4 linked regions of the Drosophila melanogaster genome follow. Changing the gene in region 4 together with the main gene of any one other region gives a genetic interaction. Each region holds a gene or a part of one and is shown on either strand. Other genes may lie near its edges. The genes, in order: Tgi, Incenp, vg and yki.

Evidence for each region.
Region 1: of yki (region 4) and Tgi, changing one suppresses a phenotype caused by changing the other (phenotypic suppression), as found in Drosophila melanogaster (4 studies listed by BioGRID).
Region 2: of yki (region 4) and Incenp, changing one enhances a phenotype caused by changing the other (phenotypic enhancement), as found in Drosophila melanogaster (one study listed by BioGRID).
Region 3: of yki (region 4) and vg, changing one suppresses a phenotype caused by changing the other (phenotypic suppression), as found in Drosophila melanogaster (2 studies listed by BioGRID).

The regions. Positions count from the first base shown.
Region 1 is NT_037436.4:13,493,606-13,501,628, reverse strand, and holds the start of Tgi (Tondu-domain-containing growth inhibitor), read right to left. Parts: upstream 6,003-8,023; coding exon 5,483-6,002; intron 730-5,482; coding exon 415-729; intron 347-414; coding exon 1-346.
Region 2 is NT_033778.4:7,276,812-7,282,337, forward strand, and holds Incenp (inner centromere protein), read left to right. Parts: upstream 1-1,794; 5' UTR 1,795-1,917; coding exon 1,918-1,986; intron 1,987-2,049; coding exon 2,050-2,230; intron 2,231-2,295; coding exon 2,296-3,355; intron 3,356-3,418; coding exon 3,419-3,515; intron 3,516-3,659; coding exon 3,660-4,326; intron 4,327-4,482; coding exon 4,483-4,676; 3' UTR 4,677-4,984; downstream 4,985-5,526. Other genes in the region: Br140 (Bromodomain-containing protein, 140kD), read right to left, coding at 1-1,071.
Region 3 is NT_033778.4:12,882,630-12,887,242, forward strand, and holds the start of vg (vestigial), read left to right. Parts: upstream 1-1,571; 5' UTR 1,572-2,682; intron 2,683-3,739; 5' UTR 3,740-4,515; coding exon 4,516-4,611; intron 4,612-4,613. Other genes in the region: AspRS (Aspartyl-tRNA synthetase), read left to right, coding at 113-276. UniProt on the Drosophila melanogaster protein: Involved in determining which thoracic imaginal disk cells will form wings and halteres, perhaps by interacting with other nuclear regulatory proteins.
Region 4 is NT_033778.4:24,065,447-24,070,399, forward strand, and holds yki (yorkie), read right to left. Parts: upstream 3,040-4,953; 5' UTR 2,870-3,039; coding exon 2,019-2,869; intron 1,809-2,018; coding exon 1,717-1,808; intron 1,271-1,716; coding exon 1,115-1,270; intron 868-1,114; coding exon 815-867; intron 732-814; coding exon 627-731; 3' UTR 529-626; downstream 1-528. Other genes in the region: Gpat4 (Glycerol-3-phosphate acyltransferase 4), read left to right, coding at 3,754-3,888, 4,293-4,496, 4,554-4,796. UniProt on the Drosophila melanogaster protein: Transcriptional coactivator which is the critical downstream regulatory target in the Hippo/SWH (Sav/Wts/Hpo) signaling pathway that plays a pivotal role in organ size control and tumor suppression by restricting proliferation and promoting apoptosis.

The sequences.
Region 1 (8,023 bases), on a different chromosome or scaffold from region 4:
GCCGAAGGTGGCGGCGATGGCGGCGTTTGGGTGCGATGCAGTGCCAGCGACAGGGGAAGCGGTTCCTCCTGCGGCGGCGGCAGTTCCGGCTGCAGCGATTCGGGCTCCAGAATGACCCATCCCGACTTGGCCAGCGGCGAGCGTTGCTGCTGGTAGTGCTGCGATGCCGCTGTGCTGGTTGATGAAGGCAGTCCGTAGGCCAGTGGCGAAACCTGCTGCTTAGGTGTACCACTTGGCGAGGGCGTGGGTGTTGGCGTAGGCGTCGGTGACTTCTTGGCGAACAGGGCAGCATAGTTCTCGCCCAGTGAGCGTCGGAAGTGCTCGTCAATGTCGCACATCGCCATATCTGCAAGGCAAATCAAAGCATCAGGTTAGTATGATCGTTGACACTAATGTGCATATATGACTTCTCACCTGTAGAGTGGGCCTGCTCCGGTGGTTCTCGCTTGGGTGGAGCCTGGGTAATGACGCTGGGTCGACTGTTGGCCGCGTAGTTGGTCCCAGGCAAGGGTTCGCGATAGGGTGGCGGCGGTGAGGCTCTCTGCTTCAGAGCTCCCGTCGTCACCGACATGTCAATGGGACTGTCCATGTCGCGATCCTCTCGATCCCGCTCCCGTTCCCGCTCCCTCTCGCTGTTGCCTGCCTCGTGCGGCTGGTATCCGGCACTACGCTGACGCCGCTCGCGTCGCCATTTGGTGGTGGTCAGCACCTTGGACGTCGCACGCATCTCTGCAAGGAGAAAAAAAAAGAAACATCAAGAGTCAAAAACGGTTTTCAGGAAAACGAGCTATCTGTTTTGGCCATCTTTTTGGCTAGCCCTCTGAATAGTAATAGTCCATATGTCCATATTATAGACAAAAATCGAATTTCAATTAAAACCCATAAATTTGCTGTGGCTTTGCGGTTGATTTGGGTTTTGTCTGGCTAGCGATTCACCAATGCTCGTTGCGGTTTACGTGTCTGTCGTCTTGGCTTCGATTATGCGGTCGATGAGTGGGCGTAATGAATCAGTTGGAGTTGAGGCGAGGCTGACTCTACAAAGGTTCTCCTCCACCCGATCGCCTGCCTGCGTCTATGTATCCAAATCTCTACCCCCCCCTGGCCCGCTCTGTCCTGCAAGTTTGTTGCCTAAGTCTTTCGTTTTTTTGAATGAACCTCTGCCAAAAGCTGCAAAGTCGCGGAGCGGCAGAGAGCGGCAAGAGCGGGCAGGAGGAAGAGTTTAAGGCAGCACAGAAATTATGCACAAGAAGACGTAGCCGTCATCGGCAAAAAATATGAATAAAAATAAAACAAAAAAAACGGCACACACACACTCGAACAAATAAATAATAACAACAGAAAAAGCATATACAATCGAAACTCCAAGGCACCAACAAAATTGGTTACGAAAACTCGTTTGGTCTACGCTCTTTTTCGAGTTCGCCTGGGTTGTATGTGTGTGTGTGTGTGTGTATTAAAGTCTGGGCCTGGCCTACACTGAGCGAAACGCAGGAACGTGCCTGGCCTGCCAATGGGCGATTGACCGAGCTGCCGGCGTGGGAAGCGGCCAAAACGGAGCGTGGGCATCCCGTCGGGATGAAAGATCCATCTGCTCCAGGCGCTCAGTGTAGCTGCTGCTGCAGCTTGCCAGGAAACCAAGTTTATAAATAAAGCAAAAGGCTGGCAGCGGGAAGCCAGGTCCCAGAACCCAGTTTCTCGGCCGATATCGAAGGGGCAGGCAAACCAGTCGGGCGACTTCTGCACATTTCGAGCAGCGCAGAGAACCCCGTTTGGAGGAGGAGTAGCTGCAGTCCCAGGAACCCAGGCATGAATGAATGAATGAATGGCTGGATTGGGATGGAGGCGGTTGGCGTTGGCGGAGGAGCAGGAGCAGGAGGAGTGGTAGGAGCAGGCGGGAGCGTTGTCCTGTTTTTGGCAACGTCACTGCGGGGCTGCCATATATTACTACCTCTGCGAGTCCAACCAAACCGGCGAGGCAGAGGAGCACCAGTAAGAGGAGCCAAGAAACTGGTCTGTCCCGAGTGGAGCACTGGGCGCAGAGGATGACGAGGAGGTGGAGGAGGAGGGCGGAGGCAGTGAAGTTGGAGTTGCAGGCCAAGAGGCATTAAAAACCAACAAACACGGAGGCTGGGAGCAAACTTGGGCTTGGACTCGGGCTCGGGCTCGGGCTCAAGCGGATGATGATGGGGATGATGATAATAATAAAGAAACATTCAAATTTTATTGCACATTTCCGGTCGTCGGACGTCGCCGTCTGTTGGGGGATCGGCGGTTCGACAGCGAAAACAACAACCACAACAACGAAGACGAAAACGACAACGATGGAGCATGGAGCATGGAGCATGGAAGTTGGAACATTAAGCTTTCTTTTTGAGGCTCCCCCTCTTTTGCGGATTGTGGTCTGCAGCTCCCTATCTCACCTTCGCCGCCACCGCATTTTCAGCATCCTCTCGGCATTGTTTATTTGTTCTGCTGCCAGCGTTTTAATCATTTCTGTATCGGCTAATTGGCGATAAAGGGGAAGTCGATTGAATGGCAGGCCGTTTCGAAATTAAGGGGGAGTTCGTAAAAGGGAGCTCGAAATGGGGTTACATCGATGATATAAGCAAGGGACAGTCGTGGGATCCAGGCGATGTAGGATGTAGTGACAGTTAGCTTGTACTCCGAACAGAAAAATCAAACGATTTAAAGGTAGAAACCAGGTTTTGGCATTTGTAAAATGAATTGAAGCCATAAAGAACGACTTGAATAAACAATAAAAAAACAACCGCAAAGTTGAATAATTAAGAAACCAATCTATACATTCGTATTTAAGGTTTTGTCATCAGGTCTTCTATTCTATAATTCGTATAAGTATATAATCGATACAGGGTTATTTCGTTAGTTTTTGATACCCATTTATTTTTATAGAGATGCATATAAATGGTAAATTTATCTGCCTTCATTTCAATGTTTTGTGGATAGCAATTACAAGGAAAGCATTACTTCCCTAATATTCCTATAAACAACAAATTTAGCAAATAATAGACTTTTCAATTGATAATGTTAGATGTTAAAATAAATCCAAGTATTTTAGAAACTTTGCCCATAACAATTAGAGTACATTATTATTGTACAAAAAAATCGAACCATTATTTCAGGCGAAACATTTCACAATTTCCGGTAACGGTGGGCCAATCTCAAAACTTCTTCACCGCTGAGGTGATATATCAGCTGTCTGGCGAGATTTGAAAGCGCCGGCCCAGTGAGATCCCAATATCTGGTTCCGACCCGAAGGGAACGCGCGAAAGAGAGGGGAGGAGAGGCGGAAAGAGAGAGACGGCGCGAGAGTGACAAAACTCAAGCAGACTTGCATGCTTATAAGTTTTGGCCTGTTCGGAGTGTAAGATTGTACTACAAATGGCTTCAAAGCAATAGCAATAGCAATGGGAACAGCATTTTGTGGCTTATGCAAACAAGTTGTTGCTGCTCTGGTTGTTGTAGCTTTTGTAGCTTTGTGTACACATTTATTTTTCCATCATCGTCGCCGCCGCCACCGTCACCGCCATCGCAGGCGTTTTTCATTATTTATATATTTTACGTTTATTTTTCTTTACTCGCGCCGGCTAGTGAGTCATGCCCGTAACCACGTATCCGATCCCCAAGCCCCCGATCCCTGCCAGACTTTCCGCTATACCCGCACCGCATTACCCGCTGGCCGAGTTGATTGCAAATCTGGTTTTAATATGTCAACAAATTAACAAAAGCAAAGCAAAACCGAGTCGAGCCAAGCACAGCGGCTCCAAGCCCCAAACCAAGCCCCCCCCCCCCCCTTCCCAATCCAAGTTCCACCTCATCGTTTTTATTTTTTTTTTATGGAGGTTTAATGTTTAAACAGGCGCTCATTTTTTGCTCTTTCTCGGGCTGCTCTTTTTTTCCAGTGATTTTTGTGTTTGCCTGGCGTCGCCATGTAATTGAAAGCATTTGTGTGATTTGTGCAATGTCGCCAATTAACGCGGTGGAACTGGAGTGTGAGTGTGTTTGTCTGCTCGTTTGCCAATTCGAGCCCGAAGCCAATCGTTGGCGACGGGGGAGCGCAGTAAAAGTGTTGCCAATTTCATTACCAATTTTCCAGTTGGCACAAGCCAAGTAGAGACGCCATCGATACGCTCTTGCAGCCGGCGTGACCGATTGCGTTAGCTGCCGTTGCCAATCTGCGTCTGAGTCCCAATCCCAATCGTCATCACGTTCACGTCCACGTCCTGGCCACACGCCGCCCACTAACTGATAAAGCGAGGCTTAGCGAATCGCTTCCGATATCCCATTCATGAGCGCAGTGGGTGAGTGATTATCGTGGCCATGTGGCCAAAGGAAAGGGCACGTTCGCCGATCCATTGAACTTCAGCACCGATCAGGCGAATGAGTGTAGCCTCCACGTGAGCAGCAGGTGCAGCAACGTGGTCTTCGCTTGTCCTGCTCTTCGCTGCACTTTGCCTGCCTCCATCCACCCAAGATAATTGCGAACATATTATGTGGTAACCTAGAACCACACGTGTTGTTTACTTCAAGGAACAGTCATGCCAAGAAGTGGAAAGAGTTTGAATGTTCATTCGGTGATATACGTATACTATTTAACAAGATGCTTGTAAGATTTCAATACTCTGGTCTGCAAAGAGTTTATATAAACAATATTGTCTTTGTTTTGGCTTCTTATTTGTTCGGTTTTTAAAGCTGCAATTAAAGATCTTGTTGTAATGAGATTTCAACTAGAAATCAGGTAACAAGAACATCCCCTATGCTGTCATAGGAAACTTTGGGTTAAATGGAAAGAACTTTGTGTTTTTTTATGCTGGATTTTATACTTAAAGATTCAAAGCTTCGTTGAAATGTGTAATTAAACATCTTTAGATGTTTCTAAATGTTTCTACTATAGTTTAAAATTTTCATTTAGTTAAAAACTGACAGGTGGTTTAAAGCTAGAATGACACTGACAGGGTGTTACCTCTTTCAATTTGAAATCGACAATTTTTAAGAGGGTTTATACTAGAGTTTGAATTCATTTAAGCACACTGTTGTTGATAAACAATTGTTACAAACAATTCTGATATTTATTTACCTAAAATTGAAGCGTACCATTTACCGACAGGATGGCTATTAATAATCGTTATAATAAATCGTAACAACGTTGTAGAACCCTGAACATTTAGACTTTACTTCCCAGAAGAAGCACGGAATAAATTAAAGGTTATGATAAGACAAATTAGTGAAACTACACGAATCCGAAAAATGGAATTACGAAGAAGGGGATCTCACATTTGAAAGAATACAAACAAACTATCCCCTGCCATTGTGGCCTCATGTGCAATCTTCCTAATGAATTGTAAGCAAGTTTCACTGGCAAGATCACCCGTATGTGACAGTTTCAACCTTTCAGTCCCCCGAGGTCAGTCAGTCGGGGGATTTTCGCTAGTCGATTTCTTTGAAGTCGCCCTGTCAAACGAACCTGAGTGCAACTGCAACTGCTGCTGCTGCTGCCTGTAGAGCTGGTGATGCATGGCGGCCGCCTGCTGGAGATCTCGCCATGGCTGCCAGAGCAGACTGTTGGCCATGGAGGAGGCGTTAGGATCGGCGTTCGCCTGCGGATGCATCTGCTGATTGCCGGACTCCGCCTGCAACGCATGCAGCTGCTCCAGCTGCTGAGGATGCTGGACATTGTAGAACATGGCCCTCTGGCTGGCCAGTGCTTGTTGGTCCGCCAGAGCAGCGGCCGCTCGGGCAGTAGCCACCTGGGCCAACGAACCGTGCGAACTGGCCGCGGACGAGACAATGGAGGAAGTGGAGGGTCCACTCGAGCAGGATGCAGATGAGATGGAGGCCGTCGAGGAGGCGGATGAGGCGGATGAGGCGGGAGATGTTGCTGTAGCCCCCCCAGCGGTTTCGGCGACCAAACGCTGGATCTCCTTGTGGTAGTAGTAATCCTCGAAGGCATCCAGTAAGCAACGATAATCTAAGCGGAGAGCCATTCTATGCGAACTTGATGGATTCTCAATTAGCTGCGCTATCTAGCCACTTCCTTCTTCTCGATCCAAATCTCTGGGGGTATCGATCCTCCCACACCGCAGTCGCCGCCGAAAAACCGACTCAGCTGATTCACAAATCACTACGCCTTGGCCGGGAGTTGGGGGCGGTATCTATCAATCGGTATCAGTTGAAGTACTTCTCGGATGCTGGGGAGCGGCACTCTTTTCTTTTTTTCTTTTATTATTTATTTGTTTTTCTTTCCCTTCCAGTTTATGATTACTTTTTTGCGCTCGGCGGCAGATACAGATACACGAATGTGCGCACACAAAACGAGCCGCAAGTCGCGACTATAGATACAGATACAATCTGTTTCTGTTTGTCTGTTGGTTTTTTTTTTTTTCTTCTGCGATTTGGTTTTTTTTTTTTGCGCGAACCGCGACTCGGGTTACAGTCTCTCGCCAGTTGAAACGGAGACTTTGGCTCTGCTCCGGCGACGTGAGCCTCGAGTCGACATTTAGCAAAATAAAAATAGCACGCTCTTTTTTCTGGCTTTTTCTGCCTTTTGTTGTTACGGCGACTCTGTCTCCGACTCTGTCGTCTCTGGGTTATATGTGTTTCTTTTCCGAGTAATGATTTGCATAGAAATCGACAAATCGCTGACTGAACTTGAGCGCCAGTTTTCGCTTTCAGAGACCGACGAACAGAACGGGGCGGCACACACGAACCGATCTGGACGCACGTTCCACGCCACAAATCGTAGTACGAATAGCAAGGTATCGGCTATAGCTAGCTGTCAGCTATATAGCATTAGGAACTGGGCAACTGTGCAACTGAGCAACTGAGCAACGCGACACCGAACTGGCGGCTTCCACGGCCAAACTCAAACTGATCGTCGGCGAGCGGCGACTTGAAGATTGCGACTGGGGCTTGCTGTATTATTATTATTATATAGGGGGCTTTCGAAGCTCCGAAGCCGCGGCCGAGTCTTCTGTCTTCCGTCTTCGGTTTCTTTGCCAGTCTTCGTCTTGCGCTCGTTCGCTGGGCTGCAAAAGTCTCCACGGGTCTTCGGGTCTCTGAAGAAACCGGGAATCGGGGGGATCGGATCTGTAGAGTTGGGGGCTTTTTTTTCTTTTTTTTTTTTTTTAGAGCCATTTGCACTTGCGCCAGTTGTCGTCCCTTGTTGTTTTTCGTTTATTTCTCCTCTTACCAATTTCCGTTTCGACTCTGGTTGGCCTGGCCTGGACTTGACTGGGTTGGCCCTCTCTTTCGCCGAAGCTCGCCGACGTTCGCTGGAGTTCTCAACGGATTTCGGATCTCTGCTTGCTTTTGGTGATTTGGTAATTGAAAAAAGTACAACTGAAAGACAGGCAAAGAAAGGGGTCCAATGTCTGTATATCCGTCCGTAGGATGTGGCCGCCACGCCCCGTTGCCCCATTGATGCTTGGCAAATTGGGCAAAAGGGTAACGAAATGGCAGCAATTGGGAATTGGCCACAGTCCGCGCGAACTCTTGGAGCACCGTAGCTGCTCTGGCTGTGAACTGCGATTTTGGGTAGGGCCAGTCGGGTCGGGTCGGGTCCAAGCAGCGCACATGGTGTGGGCGTTCTTTCATGTTGTCTGCAACGCTCTTTTGTTTTGGGCCCGGTCACTGCATTGGGCTCATTATAATGTTTACCCAGAGTTTTGCCACAAACCAGCGTAAATCCAGCAATGTTTGTAGCTGCGTGCAAAGCTACCTACGTTCCACCACGGCTTGTCGAATATGTGTGTGTGTGTGTGTGTGTGTGTGTTTGTGAGTGAGGACTGCAAGCGGGCTTGCGAAAATGACAACCAACTAGGAAAATGAGGGTTTGCCCGAGCCACACCGACAATAGAATACCTCGAATCCTTACTAATAACCCAAATTGAAGTTTTTTTTTCGTTTCAAAAATGGATCAGCACCCAATTTGCATAACCCAAGTATATGTATCTGCACAGTTTGAAAACAAACTATAGCACATTGATAATGGGAATTTCCAAAAATT
Region 2 (5,526 bases), about 17 Mb from region 4:
CTGCCCGTGGTCCGTCTGCTTGAATGCGCCGCCCGCATTGGGACAGAGCACACAGTTCACAGGCTTACTGGGTGACTGCAAGCATCGGCGGCACAGCCACTGGCCCTCCGGGATATAGGGGACACCGTAGCAGTCCTGGTGTACCGCCAGGTTGCACATGTCGCAGAAAAGTATCACGTTGGTGTTTTGGCACTCGCCGTCGAGGCAAATGCAGCAGACTGCGTCGTCGTCCACCTCGACGCCTGTGGGTGTGCCGTTGGCCGCCGCCTGGAAGTGCGACTCCTTCTCCAGCCGGTCCATCAGCAGCTCCATCGTGTCGATGCCCACGGCGTTCAGGCCGAGTCGCTGGCGCTCCTCGTTCATGTGCTCCAGCCAGGCGGAGTCCTCCTCGTCAACGTCGTACTCCACCTCCCCGTCCAGCTCCTCCAGGGACTTTTCGATGAAGCGATAGTAGGCCAGCGGCCGTGGCGGGGCGTCGGACACTCGGTAGTCCGGAATCTCGGCCACCCTGGCCACGGGCACCTGGACCCTTGCCCAGGGCGCGTTCTCCTCCAGCGGTGGTGCGTCGGCATTCAGAATACAGCCCCTGGCCACTAGGGCGGCGAACTCTTCGTCCTCTACGAGCGGCAAGGCGTCGTCGATGCCCAGGCGCACGCTCTTCCCGTCCAAGTTAAACGTCACCGTGGCCTCCTCCTCGTTGTAGGACACCAGTGACTCTGGATTGGCGTACTGCCGGGCGCTGACTCCGCTCGCCGATCCACCTCCTGCGCTGGCCGAGGAGCAGCCGTTTCTGGCCTCAGCTCCACCGCCACCCGGCGTGGGGTGATCCTTGTGCGGACGAGGCGTGGAGTGGTGGCCGCCGGAGCGTGAGCGCGCCTTCTTGCGGCTCGGAGTCAGCACGGGCGTGAGCGGCTGTGGGTTGTCGTGGTCGTACTTCATAAGATGGTATTGCAGACCCATGATGGTCTTGTAGCTGCGGTCGCAGCCGCGGACGGGACAGGCGAAAGGCGGCTGGGACTGCTGGGTCTTCACCCCTTTGCAGTATTCCACTGCGTCGAAGTCGAGGCCCATGATCTGGATCTGCGGCGCGATCTGTGGATCTGCTGCAGCTGGCTTCTCGGGGTTTGGCGGTTCGCTGGTCGCGGATCGCGGGCACTGTGTCTACTCCGCGGCACGGCTGCGCATACGTATGTGCATCCCACGGTGGTCGTCGCAGAGCGCGCGGTTTTGGCTGTCCACCGTTCCTGGTCGATTTTCGTTGGCTTGTTGCAAATTTTTTAACAAATGTGCTAGAGATGGGCTTGCTGGTCAGCTCGCCATGGCGATACTATCGTCGGAAGTGCTTGTGCAGCACTGGACGTTTGCTGAAACTTGTTTGAAATATTTCCGGTCCTTTACGCAAATTAATTCTCTTCCGTAATCTATATTTATAATTTAAATGTTCCTTTTTGTTCTTTCCCTTACCATTTTCCCTCAAATTTGTTTACAATATGTTTTTTGGGGAGCCGTGCAGCACTGCTTTCTAGAGATGGTAGTGGCGGGAACGTATTGGAACTGGTTCACCTAATGTTATACTTTCAAAATTTACAGGGCTAGAAATCCAGTACGTAACTATTTAAATAACCCAATAATATTATTTTAAAGAATTCAAATAAATATCTCCCAATATTCACTCAAAAAACAAGTTTTGGTTGTGTTTTTCATTTTGCGCGGGAACTTTATCGCCCGTGCAGTGTTGGAAAGCAGAGGCATAAATGCGCCTTACAGCACCCGACGAGCTGTTAACTGTCAACAGTGCACAATTAAAGGCATGTTATCAAATGCTGACGCGCGTCGCAATTGCCGCCATTTGAAAAAAACGATAAAATCGAAGGAACCGAATCCGGATTTGCAGTTTGTCAGATACAGTCGCTAGATATGGAGGACATCTTGGGCGTGCTGGGCTCGCTTTCGGACCTGCGCAGGGAGCTCGAGGTCCTGCGCAAGGTAAGCCAGGATCAGGAGACGAAATTCCGACACTGTCAACATGGCGTCATATGTGTTTTTTAGGCCCACTTTGAGGAGCTGGACCACCTCTTCTACGGCACAGGCCAGCCGGAGGCGGAGGCCAAACCGAGGGACAGTGCTCCGGCAGCGAAGAGTCAGGAGAACTCTTCGGTGACGCCGCAGCAAACGAAAAAGCGCCCCAAGCGACTCACCTCACTGGCCGAGGATCAGAATGAGCCCGAGGGTGAGTATCCTGGCCATTTTAAAGCATTAACGACCAACAACCCCTGTGATATTCCATTTGAGCAGCTCCAGACGCCACGGCCAACAACACGTCGGCCCGTCAAAGCACTCGGGTCAGCAACTCCCAGTTGCTGGCTATCGCCGAGGACGAGCACAACTCCACGGCCTCGCTGATGCCGCCTCCGCCTGTGCCCGTCTCGGCGGACACCACCCTCGGCTCCGGAAGGCCACAGCGAGCCGCTAAGCTGAAGACCGAGAAATTACTCAAGGAGCCCTCACTCAACCGTAAGATGCGGCGGCCCAGCAGCGAGGAGCTCGTAAAGGTCAAGGTTGAGAGCGAGCAGCGAGTCTCCCAGTTTAACAGCTTCACCAGTGCACAGGCGTTAGAGGAAAATAAACTAGCGGAGCCGGAACTAGAAGAGCCAGCAGCAGAAACAGCTGAGCAGCAAAAGCCTCCGGAGGAGGCCTCAGTCACAGAGGACGTGAACACCACGAAGACACTCCGCGTGAAGGTAAAGCGCGAGAAACTCAGTACCGAAGCAGTGCCCCCGTTAACCAATGCGGTCTCCACGGCAAATGTGACCACCGTCTCCTCTGTAACAACGGAGGCAGCGCGACCGGACGATACGGTGGCCAGCAACACGACGACATCCACGGAGGTCTCCAAGAAGGTCCGCAAGAAGAAGAAGGACGTGGAAAGCCACCGACCCATAAAGGTGGAACGATTCAGCGACCTGGACAAGAGCTCGCCAGTCTCGTCGCGCACGCGCAAGTGTAGCAGCGATTCGCGAACGGTTCAGGAGCGATCCATATACAAGGATGCACTCGAAGATCCGCCCGTTGCAGAGCAATCAGTGGCTGCAGTTGCTCCGGCTGCTGTCAATGAGACCGTGGCGATTTCCAACGCCACCCTCGTACTGGGTCCTGCGCCGACGAGCGATAGTCCAATAGGACCAGCTGGAGATGCCACTTTTGAGGTGCACTCCAACGACAAGAAACAACCTCTGAGTAAGCAGGACAGCCTCTTAACGGAGGACGAGTCGGTGGAGGAGAAGCTGCCGACGACCAAGCTGCTCTCGAGCATAAAGGCTATAAAACTGCCTACCCGTACACATGAGCTTTTCAAGTGAGTAGATACCCTGCCTCTTCATGCATGTTATCCTTCTAAACAATCTTTGCACTTCTACAGCCCACTGCTTCAGAGTCCAGTGAAAATGCGCGTGGAGGCGTTCGAGAATGCGGCAAACGCACAGAACAGCATGCGCCCTAAGCGGGGAAAAGATCTGGTAGGTACAGTATAGTTGCACATATATAGCAGGCAGATAGCAGGCAGAATTAGGCTAGACTATTCACCAGTTCTGTATCAATTGGCGCTTTCTAGAACTGTTTGATAGGTGATTCATTTATTGTTATTTTTTTTTACTCTTCAGCAGGGCACGCCAGGATCAAACAACACTCCCAAAATTGGCAAGCTGCCTGCTCCGACTGTTGGTCGCTTTTTCACACCGACTCAAACGACAAGCACACTACCATTAAGCTCGGCGCAGCCCAAGAAGGGACCTGCCAGCGCGTCTAAGGCCACTAGTCTGCTGAAGACGGCCACCGGTACGAACCTAAGGTCGGTCAATTCCACGTCCACAAAAACGCTGTCGCGCGAGAACAGCGGAGACGACTTCCGCAAGGGCCTGCACAATCTGGCGGAGGAGCGCAAGAAGCTGCGTGAGCAAAAGCACCAGCAGGCTGCCCAGCAGCGCGAAGCCAAGGAGCGGGAGCGGGCAGAGCGTATGGCCAAGCTGGCCGCCGAGCGCGCCAAGAAGCAGGAGGAGCGAAAGCGAATTGAAGAGCGCAAACGACAAGAGCTGGAGGAGCTGCAGCGGAAGATGCGCCAGCAAGAGGAAGCCGAGGCGCTCAAGAAGGCCAAGTTCAAGGAGCTGGAGCAGCAGAAACTGCAGCAGCTAACCGGCGCCAAGCCCAAGAAGATGCTTCCGCCGCCGCCGAAAACCAAGTACACCTGGGAGATGCTGCACGAAGACGACTCGACAGACGACGAGGGAAAGGTCACCCACAAGCGTCCCCCAGCGCCCACCTGGAGTCGAAGTAAGTTTGTGGATCATTTCGAAGAGTTATTTTCGAGATACCTTATTCATCGTAAATATATACAAGTAAATACACCAGATTACAGTCTGATTTCCATTGGGACTACTAAAGGAAATGTTCTTAAATATAGATTCTGACTTATGTGTTTATTTTCAGGCCACGTAAGGGGAGAGGCAATTGCTATGCAGAGCCACTGCCCAACCGACATCATCGACAGCTTTTTCTCGGTGGCGCCCACCACACCGGACCTAAAGCAGATATTCCCGAACATCGATCCCAGCCAGCTGAAGCGAAACTCCAGCGTGCTGTGGTCCACGCCGCCGCGCTATTCCGAGCTGCCGAAATACTAGCCAAGTAGTCCTGCTCTCTTCTCCCGTAAATGCACATGTTTATGATCGAATAAATAAAGTTAATTGTGAAAATTAAAGCGGAGTACCGCTGCGCGATTCACTGCGACTCTGACACTAATATCCAGCTGCTTTAGAACTATTAAAGCCGCCAGCGTGCTCAATTAATGGTTCGCTGGTGGCTGCTTGCCGATTCCATTAGCCAAGTTGCCCAACAATGGATACGTCGATTCGTGAAAAGTGTGAAAACGCAGAGGAGGCAAGTAAACGAAATAAAAGAAAACAAGCCCGGCAAACACAATTTCACTGGTCATGGGGCATGGTTTTGTGGCATGATGCGCAGACGATCGAAAAGACTGCCTCGATTCGATTCTCCTCCATCATGTTTCCATTGCTGCTAATCCCACTTTTCCAACGAGCCATTCTCATTTTCAATCGAAAGCCGAAATCAGCGGAATCGGCATGGGCAATTGGCACAGTAATTGCTGCTGATTAGAGTCGACTCCATGTGGAAGTCGCCGCGGATCCACCCATGAATATGATTCGATGGGACCATCTTAATCCGCAATCTAATTAAGGCGCGTACGCTCCCCAAATTGCCACTTTCAATTGTTACTGTTTCCGTTTAAGTGCACTCTGTTAGTAGCTCCACTTCCCCACGGACCCAAGTCGATTGGGGCTGAATCTATGTGAATTCCATGTGGCACATTGGATACTCTATCAAAAACTGTAAGGAAAGATAGTAACACATCTAAATGAATAAGCTCTAAAATTCCATCAAATGCCACTTTTGTGATCCATCAGTTTGCAATTCTTTAGAACTTTTGAAAGACCAACTTTTAGATTTTCCCAT
Region 3 (4,613 bases), about 11 Mb from region 4:
AAATGCATAGCTCAAGTGCTTATATAAGACTGTAACCCATTTCAGATAAGAAGTTGAAACTTATCTACTCTATTAATACTTAATATTAACGCCGTATATATTTGTTTTCTAGATACCTCCAAGATTGCGGCGTACATCGAGTCCTTCCGCTATGGATGTCCTCCACATGCTGGTGGTGGCATTGGAATGGAGCGTGTGGTGATGCTGTATCTGGGATTGGACAACATCCGCAAGACTTCCATGTTCCCGCGCGATCCCAAACGATTAACGCCTTAAGCACGATAGACTCAAACAACGTACTCTTTAGATTTGAATACAATTCGATGAAACAATTGTTTTACTTTCCCTGTGACTTTCCAAGCATTCAGTTCTTTTTATTTTTACGCCAAACCCAATCGTGAGTGTTTTATCCTTCTTCTCAAGACTAACATGCTGCAAAGTTGTTAAACAACGAGAAAAATGTACGGGAAGACTGCCTAGAGTCAAATTTATTTGGAAACTCGTAAGAAATAAATACTTGCGCGTATGTTTTGTACTTTAATAATTGCTTTTAATATTTTGGTTGGTTATTTTTAAGTGGGTAAAATATATAAGCTAACGTGTAGCTAGAATATTATATTTTTGTTGCATACTTTTAGGGTCTGTAGAAAGGCCACATTTGTTCTCATAGCTTATCAATATGCACCTGGTCAAAGAGTTTTCTTAATGTTTTATTCAAAAGGTTGAAACCAGACCAATTTTATTAAAAGCCTTAAGTAAAAACAGTTCACTACTTTTGATTTGTCTAATTGGATTGTAGTATAAGAGATTAATATTCTCATCATTTTCAAAATAAATAAAAGATATTATTATTATCTGGCATTAGAATTTAGAAATTTAGTTTTTGATGCAGGCTGTGTAATAACCATTATAGTTTTCTTGGTGACCATCTATAAGACTGACTACCTTAACTACTTTGAGAATCCCTTAAATAATCACCGCTCGAAGTCCCGTCGGCCATGTCTTCTTTATCTGGAAACTTCTTTCTCAGGTTAAACTCCCACATAAACATGGTTTTTTTTCTAGCTTTCTCCGTAGTTATAGAAGTTTCCCACAACATTTTATGCAACATTGCTTAAACAACTTTCTGCGTATTAAAACAAATTTCGATATTTAGCCAAATCGGTATAACCAGTAATCAAATCATATTAGCTGTCACTAAAACCAAACTTTGTGTTCCGACTTTCCTGGAATTTGTAAATGAAAACATAAGTTTAGATCCTATATGCTCTGTAGTAGGGCTATTTTCCATGCCGACTTGATGTATTCCATTTTTATATTATCCACAGATTTTTCAGCTTTTTTTACACGTTCCTATCAGAAATCTAACAATTAAAGGTGTAGTAGACCGTCTTTCACTTATAAGCATCCACACCTTGTCAACAATCCGCGGCGAAATGAAGGCGAATGAACAGCACAATAAATTGTATTCATTTGCAATCAGATTATTATCAATACGGAAACTTCGCGGTTGAGGAGGGCTTGGGGCTTGGAAGGGGACTGGAAAACAAGGATTGCGGGGGCACTGCAAACACTGTTGACACAGTTGGCGCATACTTTTCATTGCGGAAAGGCAAGGAAAGGAACAAAAGGACGAAGTAGAAGGCCCCGGATGAATGCGAATTCCTTTCAATCTGTTTGTCGAACTTTAAAATCAGAGAGAAACAGCAGGAGTTTCGTCTACTTGAGGACACAATTGAGACGCACTCCATTTTATTTTCACACCGATGTGGCATCGTTAGTTGGAAACCTGGAAACAACAATACAACGCTGAATGCGGCAGCAATCAAGTGGGCGGTGCTTGGCAACTGCAGCACACTAGTTGTCCCGCTCCCACCGCGGTCCAATGACTGCCGTGCGAGAGAGATGGCCCGATACAAGAAATTGCCATTTTGTTTTCAATGCCGCGGCGACTGCGCTGCCGTCGCGCTGCCCGCAAATGCATTGGATTTACCGCTCCTTTTGCCAGTTTGTTTTTTCTCTTCCGATTGAGCGGCAGCCGGAGCTCTCCGTGTTTTTCTCTCACCGCCGCGCGGGATTTTCGATTTCGGATTTTCGATTTCAGCGTAAACGAGAATATCGTAAAATTAAAACGAAACAAAACCAAAATCCTAGTGAGTGATCGCGGCAAGTGCAGTTCATTTGTTTTCCAAGTGCCACATCGCAAAGCAGAATAATAATTATAGAAATAGAGATTTCCGCGGATGCTGCAATTGCCAAAATAGTGCCGTTCTCCATCTCATTTTCGCTCGCTGGCTATCGCCCTCTCTCTCACTCGCTCTCGCACAATCGGGCCGCCAAGAATTTATGGAATTCGGCATTTTGTGGATTTAGCGAAAATATTTTCATTGAGTGCGCCGACCAAATGTTTGCTGCTCGTTTTCGGTTAAAAATAATCGCAGAAGCCGCTGCGCCAAAATCTCAAGAATTCACGTGCGAATTCCCCAGCGCGTATCACTTTAATTACTATTCAAATTAACAACAACAACAAAACGATCAAACGAAAATTAAGTCAAGTTTTACCTTGTCAAGAGATGTGAAATTGTTGAATATTTTGCAAAAAGTGCACTGTAACGAGAATTGAGTTGATTTACGCAAGCAACACTGAACATCTTATTGGATTACACTAAAAACATTCAAGTGGTAAGTGCGGGTTCGATAAATGAAATGTCAAATTGGACCGCAGTCGTTTTCCTTCTGGTGTCATTATAATTATCATAATTTGCCTAATTTATCGATTTGCATTTAATTTTATTATGCATATTAGGCTAAACGTCTGAAATTGATGTTTGTACCTTACATCATAAGGTTAATTTATTAATTCCACTTAATTGGTTATATTGTTCCTATACTTTTTAATTGAATTGTAAAAAGGTACAACGTGAAAAGCTCTGAACAGTTAAGGATTAAAAAAAGGTTGTTAAATAGCTTAAGTTTTTTGTAACGGGAACATTATGGAGCTATAGTTATTTTCCAATTAAATTGGGATAATATGTAATAGCAGTAGTAGAAGCACAGATATAATTTATAGGATTATTCATTAAATTACGAATATTTTTTGTGACAGATAGCTTTTAAAATGTAAATTTTGTGTTTTCATGTCCCGACGGAGGTTTATTTAAAAATGATTCCTATTGCCGTCGGACCTTAGCTATATTTTCATTTCAATAGCTTTTACTGTGTTCAATGCAATAGTTTGTTCAACGTTTGGCATTCGCTGCTGCTGTTATTGTATCAATCAATAGTTGCAACGATTATTTATTTCCATTCTACAAAAAAGCTTAGCATATTAATTTGCGACCTAATTCAAGATATTTCTAAAAGCTAAAGCCAAGAATTAAAGAATTAACTTCAAAGACTTTTAAAGTAATTCCTTATTTTCCGACGGATATCTTTAACAAGTTTTAATTCACTTCGTCTATAAAACCGTTTATGTGCCAGTTTATTGGTTTTTATTTTGATCATAATTACTTTAGCTGTGAAAGCATTCGTTTGTGGTTTTCTATAGCCATTTTGAAACTTGATGATGCTTTGTTTACATGCAATTGCTTTTCAACAGACATTTACGGTTCAAATAGTCACATCATTAAAGTCGGTTTTAACATAAATGCCAGAAATTGGCTCATCAGCTTTGAATTTCTTACCACAATTAGCAAATTGTTAATGCCTTCTCCTGCACTTTTCTCCATTTTCCTTCCAGTTGGCAATTCTTCGTCGGAAACGCGGATGAGAAACGAAATTGACGTTCCAACGCCAAAGGGAAAAAAAAACTGAAAAAATAGAAAACAACGACTAACAGCAATCAACAATGTGGAAATGATAATTGCAATTGCCTGCACAAGCAAACAAAGAAGAAAGAAGCAAGTGAAGAAAGTCGAAGAGCGACGAGGGGAGGAAACTGAGTCGAAAAGAAAAGGAAATTACCCACGAACGGGAATGGCAAATGCATAGAAAGAAGTTTGCGAAAAACAACAAAAAACGTAAACAAAAAACAGACAAAAAGCAATTATAGCTGCTGATACAAACGCGATGGTGTTTTACAATATGTAAATATAATTAGCCGAGCGGAGTTTTCATTCCAGGAATTTTGCCAGCCAACAAAAGAAATAAATACTACAACTGCTGCAGAAAAAATACAACAAAAACAACAAAACACGCCTTGACTTGAAAGCCGGTTTTATAATTACTCCAAGTTTTAGCCCCCTTCCCTCCCCGCGCGCTCTCTATCTATATATCTATCTCCCTCTCTTCAGAGAGAGCATTCAATTTCAAACCCCCGATACGATTACGAATCCAATTGGAACCACGCGTATTGGCATCACAATTCCCTCCCCGCTCAAGTGACAATACCAATTTAACTACCATCCATCGCTAAACCGCAAAAGCAGTGAGCCAGTGTGAGTGCCAGTGCCAGTGCCAGTGTGTGTGTGGCAGTGAGTGGCAGTTGCAGTTGCAAGTGCGCTTGCCACTGCGACAATGGCAGTGTCCTGCCCCGAAGTTATGTACGGTGCCTACTATCCATATCTGTACGGGCGCGCTGGAACAAGTCGATCGTTCTACCAGTATGAGAGGGT
Region 4 (4,953 bases):
GCTGTGGTGAAAAACCCAAGTCCAACTCTTATCATCTATGAAAGCTGTTGAAAGAATTCAAACGATGACTAGCTTGACATCACGAAAATAAGTAATTCATGCTAAATTAGAAGAATATTTGCAAAAGTGACTCATGGGTAAGCATTGATAAAGAGCGAACGCGAACAGATTCGCAAGCGAATGACACCGATGAGCATGGATGTCTTTGGCTCCACGTAAAGCTGAATCTGCTGGGTCGGTCACAGATCGAACTCAATGAAGCTCATGAATCGCGTGCATTCTGGTCCAAATGCACGCCGCATTCTGGTTACTTGGTTACTTGGCTTGCACTTTACAATAGTCGGGGTATTCGGGTTTCGGCATGAGTCATCGCTGCTGACCACACCTTTCATCCACCTGAACTCTCTCTTCGGCGTTCGAAAGTCATCTGAATCAGATATCTTCTTTTCAATCAGTGCGTTCACTGATCGTCGGAAGCTTTAAAACCCAGAAACAAGGCGCCCAGTAATAATGATAAACACACAAATTCGTTTATGTAAAGAAATACTATAAAATTTGAAAAATATTTAATTTAGAATAATACAAAATATAAAACTTTTAGGTCTAATACAGATGTATACATTGAATTAATTAATTTTATACCATTCCAAATCGTCAGGTTTGTGGGAAGACGGCGGATTTACAATGGCCTGTGCGTCATTGAACAAGTTACTGCAAAGATTATCCTCAATCTGAAAGCGTAAAGTGGGCAAAGTGAGGTAGTGGCGTGGAACTCGGTTCGCCAACTCGGCGGTCGGCAACTGCGAATGCTTACCTGGAGGGAAGACACTAAGTTATCTGGGCAGTCGAGCACGCTAAGCCCAGATTCTGCAAAGATACACGGTAAGGGAAGGCGTTAAGTTAGTAAAGGCGAGGCATGGAGCGATAAGGAGTGTGGAGTGTTCGGCCTCTATCTCAAGATCAGTACTATACTATATAGTGAAAGCAGAGATGCCATGGGAATTACGTGATCGGCCCCCCGCCCACTGCGCACTCAATGTTATCTAGCGATATCGCTACGATATCTGTGTGTCTCGTTGTCTTACGCTAGTCGGGGTGGTGGAACGAGACTTACGCATTCTGGGATCATTCCATGAAGTCGTTCGATCAATGTGATTTATAAAGTAAAGATCTCCGGACTCGGTAACTGCCTGCTCCCAACCATCCGGCAGTGGACCCAAATTGTTAGCAATGGTCGATGTGGTAGTTTGTTTTGTAGTTTGCAAAACATCTATCGAACAAAAACAATGAATTACAAACCAAAGTAAATAAAAACAAATTAAAATATGTCTTCAACGTAATGCTGCAGTGTGTAAGCGGATGAGAACGGAGGGGCACTGGCGCCCAGCATGCAGCACATATCAAAATCAATTGGAGTATGCTCAAAGCAAATCCAATCGAGCTCCCACTTCCGAATGCCAAAATGATCAGACTCCAACCCAATCCCGAAAAGTGCATTGGCGCGCTCAAAATGGACGGAATGGACTCCCTGAAATCGGTTGTGTACTGTGCTGTTCATGCGTTAGTTGGAATGAGTTAGAGCCTATCTTATCCCTGCCTGGTCTCTAGCATTAATTAGTCCTCTGATGGCTGATTTAAGTGGGTTAACAATGAGACGCAGCCACAGGCAGTTAACGACTTGCTTATCTAAGGCATTACATCTAAGATAGAACCTACCATTCTGCTTTATTCGCTCGGCCATCAAGATTTGCTGCTGCTGGCGATATTGGATTCTGGGATCCTCCCACTGCGTAGATTTTGTAGTATGACTGCAAGTAGAGAGAACACCATTGTTGAGATTGCTGTTTTGGGTATTAGTTGAGCTAGTAATGATTAAGAGATAAACTTGAAAGACATCCAACGAAGCCAATGAGATTTCTGTGACTCACAAGAATATTTTAGTTTTCATAAGTTCATAAAGAAGACACGTATTAAATAAAGCTTCATGCATATCATTTTTAAAATCTGCCCAAACTCACTTCAAGTAGTAGATCTGGCCATCATTGGTCTTGGCTTGCTCCCATCCCGGCGGCAAGGCGCCTAGTTGGCGGTTCAACTGAATGGGGCTGATGACGTCGTAGGAGCGCTGCTTCTTGTGCACTGTCTGCATGGACATGGGAATGTCCTGCGACATGCAGGTGTTCATGGCGTCCAGATCAATGGCCGAGCTGGCCGGGGCGCCGCTGGGGAACTCTTGGGCACTGTTCTCTGGGAAAGTGGGCCCAGCGGGCTGCTGTTGGCTGCTCGGATTGGCATTCGGATTGTTGGCTGCTGCTGCGTCGCTCCGGGCGCGCACATTGTAGTTCTGCTGCAGCGAGGCGGGGCTGCTGCGGGCTCGGGAGTGATGTATCGCCAGGCGGCTGTGCTGGGGAGACGGCTGAATCTGGAGCTGGGGGATGGCGGCGATGGGCGACTGGCCATCTGGCTGCTGGACGATGGACGCCTTGTTCCCGATGTTGATGCTCGACTGGGAGCCCGCGTCGTAGGTGGAGTCGGCGCTGTTGGCCCGCGAGTGCGAGGGCGCCGGGGGCGTGAAGAAGGAGTTGGGCAGCTTCCGCATGCGCAGGGGCAGCTGCAGCGGGCGCTTGGCGTCACCCGGATTCAGGACGCTGTCGAATAGCGCCTGCAGGTTGTCGTCCGTGTCCTGGTTGACCCGCACCACCAGGTTGTTGGACTTGATCGGCGAAAGCATGTCCTCGTCGTCGATCTCCTTCTCGATCAGGCTGTTTGTATTGCTGCTGGCTGACATCGTCGTTAACATATAAAAGGCACTTATTGTATACAAACGAAAACTACATAGAATTATCTTAGCGATTAGGCACGCGCACATATATGTTCTTCCATATACGTATCACTCCATCGCGCTGCGCGAAACTATAACATTAAGGTGTTAAAAACTAAACTTCGTTGCAATAAATAATAGTAATAATAATAATTACGGAACTGCCAACATAAAATAAATTTATCCCAGTGTTGCCAGATGGCTATCCCCGTCCACTTGTCCATTCCGATACTAGCGTTCCTCATGTAATCGGCTTCGTGGCTGCACCTGCGGAATGCCAGGGGTATTCCGCAAGCCGATTACGACTTTTGTCGATTTCCTTTAGCTATAGCTAAAGATTTATTCTATATTTTGTAATTAATAAGGCACAAAACAAAGTAGATATTAAATTATGGTGTGTGTATAGCCCACACACTTGTGTTCCATAATATCAGACTATAAATTATTAGACTAACAATTATTATTTATTGGTTTATAACATTTTGTTTAGTGAAAATAAGTACAGGCAAAGGTCTGTCAAAAACACACCCAATAACAATATAAACTGATTGTAAATGTGCCTTGTTGATTTAAGTAATAAGTGCAGGTAAAGGTCTGTCAAAAACACATACCCAATAACAATATAATCTGAATGTAAATGTGCCTTTTTGTTTTCAGTGCACGTTCATTCAACCCTTTTCAAAACGATTGGCAGTGGAACAAGAAGCCGTTCCGTCTCCTGCCCGACCGGAATCGTCCCCTTTCCGTTTGTTCCCCGTAGAGATGAGCGCGGGCCAGGTCTGTGAGCACGAGACAGGTTTTTGACACAGTCAAGGTCCATCGCTAGTTCGGTCTACAGCAAAAAGTATTTTAACATTGTATATATTGGCACGACACAATTCGGAGGCATTTTTCGCTTAACAATAACTAATGTCGCATGACACAAATGTAAAATGATCGCCGTGCTGTTGGACATATTCTGGATCCCCATCGGGGGCTTCCTCTCATTTCTCATATTTATTTCCGCCATAAACAAATCAATCGGCGTCCGAAAAGCGTACGTGAACCTCCTCCTAAGGATATTCGAGGTAAATATTGCTTGCTTTCGTTCCTCAGATGAGTAAGCACCGATTTGAGGTGCTCCACTGCTGCGGTGGCTTTGCAAATGGTGCTGTCTTACCAATAGTTAAGCTATTCCAAAGTCCATAAATATAGTCAGCTTTTGGAGTACGCCATACTACGTCTGCCCTACGCAATTACTGCAATGCAGGCGAGTTCGAGAAACTATTGCTTGCCCGGAAGCTTTAAGTAGATTCTTCGGCTATCCTCAAGGAATCTGCGGGGCAGGAGTGCGCCAGTGCACCCAAGTTGCCGCTTCCCAGACACTTGTAAAGTGCCAGTCATTACCTCGTCCGACGATATGCTTGCGATAATCTTATCTGCAGATAATCCCCGATTCGACTCGTTAACAACTAATCACCTCTACTTTCAGTATGGTCGAGTTAGTATAGAGACAGCATCCAAAGAAAACCAACACATTCAAAATCCCAAGACTGACGACAAACAGGGAGTGCAACTAGTGGACGACGCCGATTCCAAAGAAGGCACCAATGGAGCCACATTGATTACCAGGGACGCGGTACTCCTGCCCCAGCCACAGGAGCCCGCTCCAGAGAAGCCAGTTTCCTCCACAAAGGTAAGGAGTCCGGCATTGCAATGGGCACCTGATTTAAACAACATTTCCCATTTGCAGGATGAAATCAATTTCGATTTTGAGAAATGCCTGGACTACGTAAAGTCTGGCGTGGAGGCCATCATCGAGGACGATGTTACGTCGCGCTTCGAGGCGGAGGAGCTCAAGAGCTGGAACATGCTGACACGCACCAATAGGCACTACGAGTTCATTTCCTGGAAAATCACCTCCATCTGGGTGTTCGGCTTCTTCATCCGCTACGTCATCCTGATGCCCCTCCGGGTATTGGTATGCTTCGTTGGTGTGAGTACATTCGGTTCATTTAGTGGCTTTTCCACAACTACCCGATCGTCCCGATTCCCATGCATGCTACAAATTATCCCAAAGGATACGCTTAAGTAATGTATTCCGCTTTAGACTGGAGAACAGCATCATGCATAGGGATTGGGCTGTCGAGTAG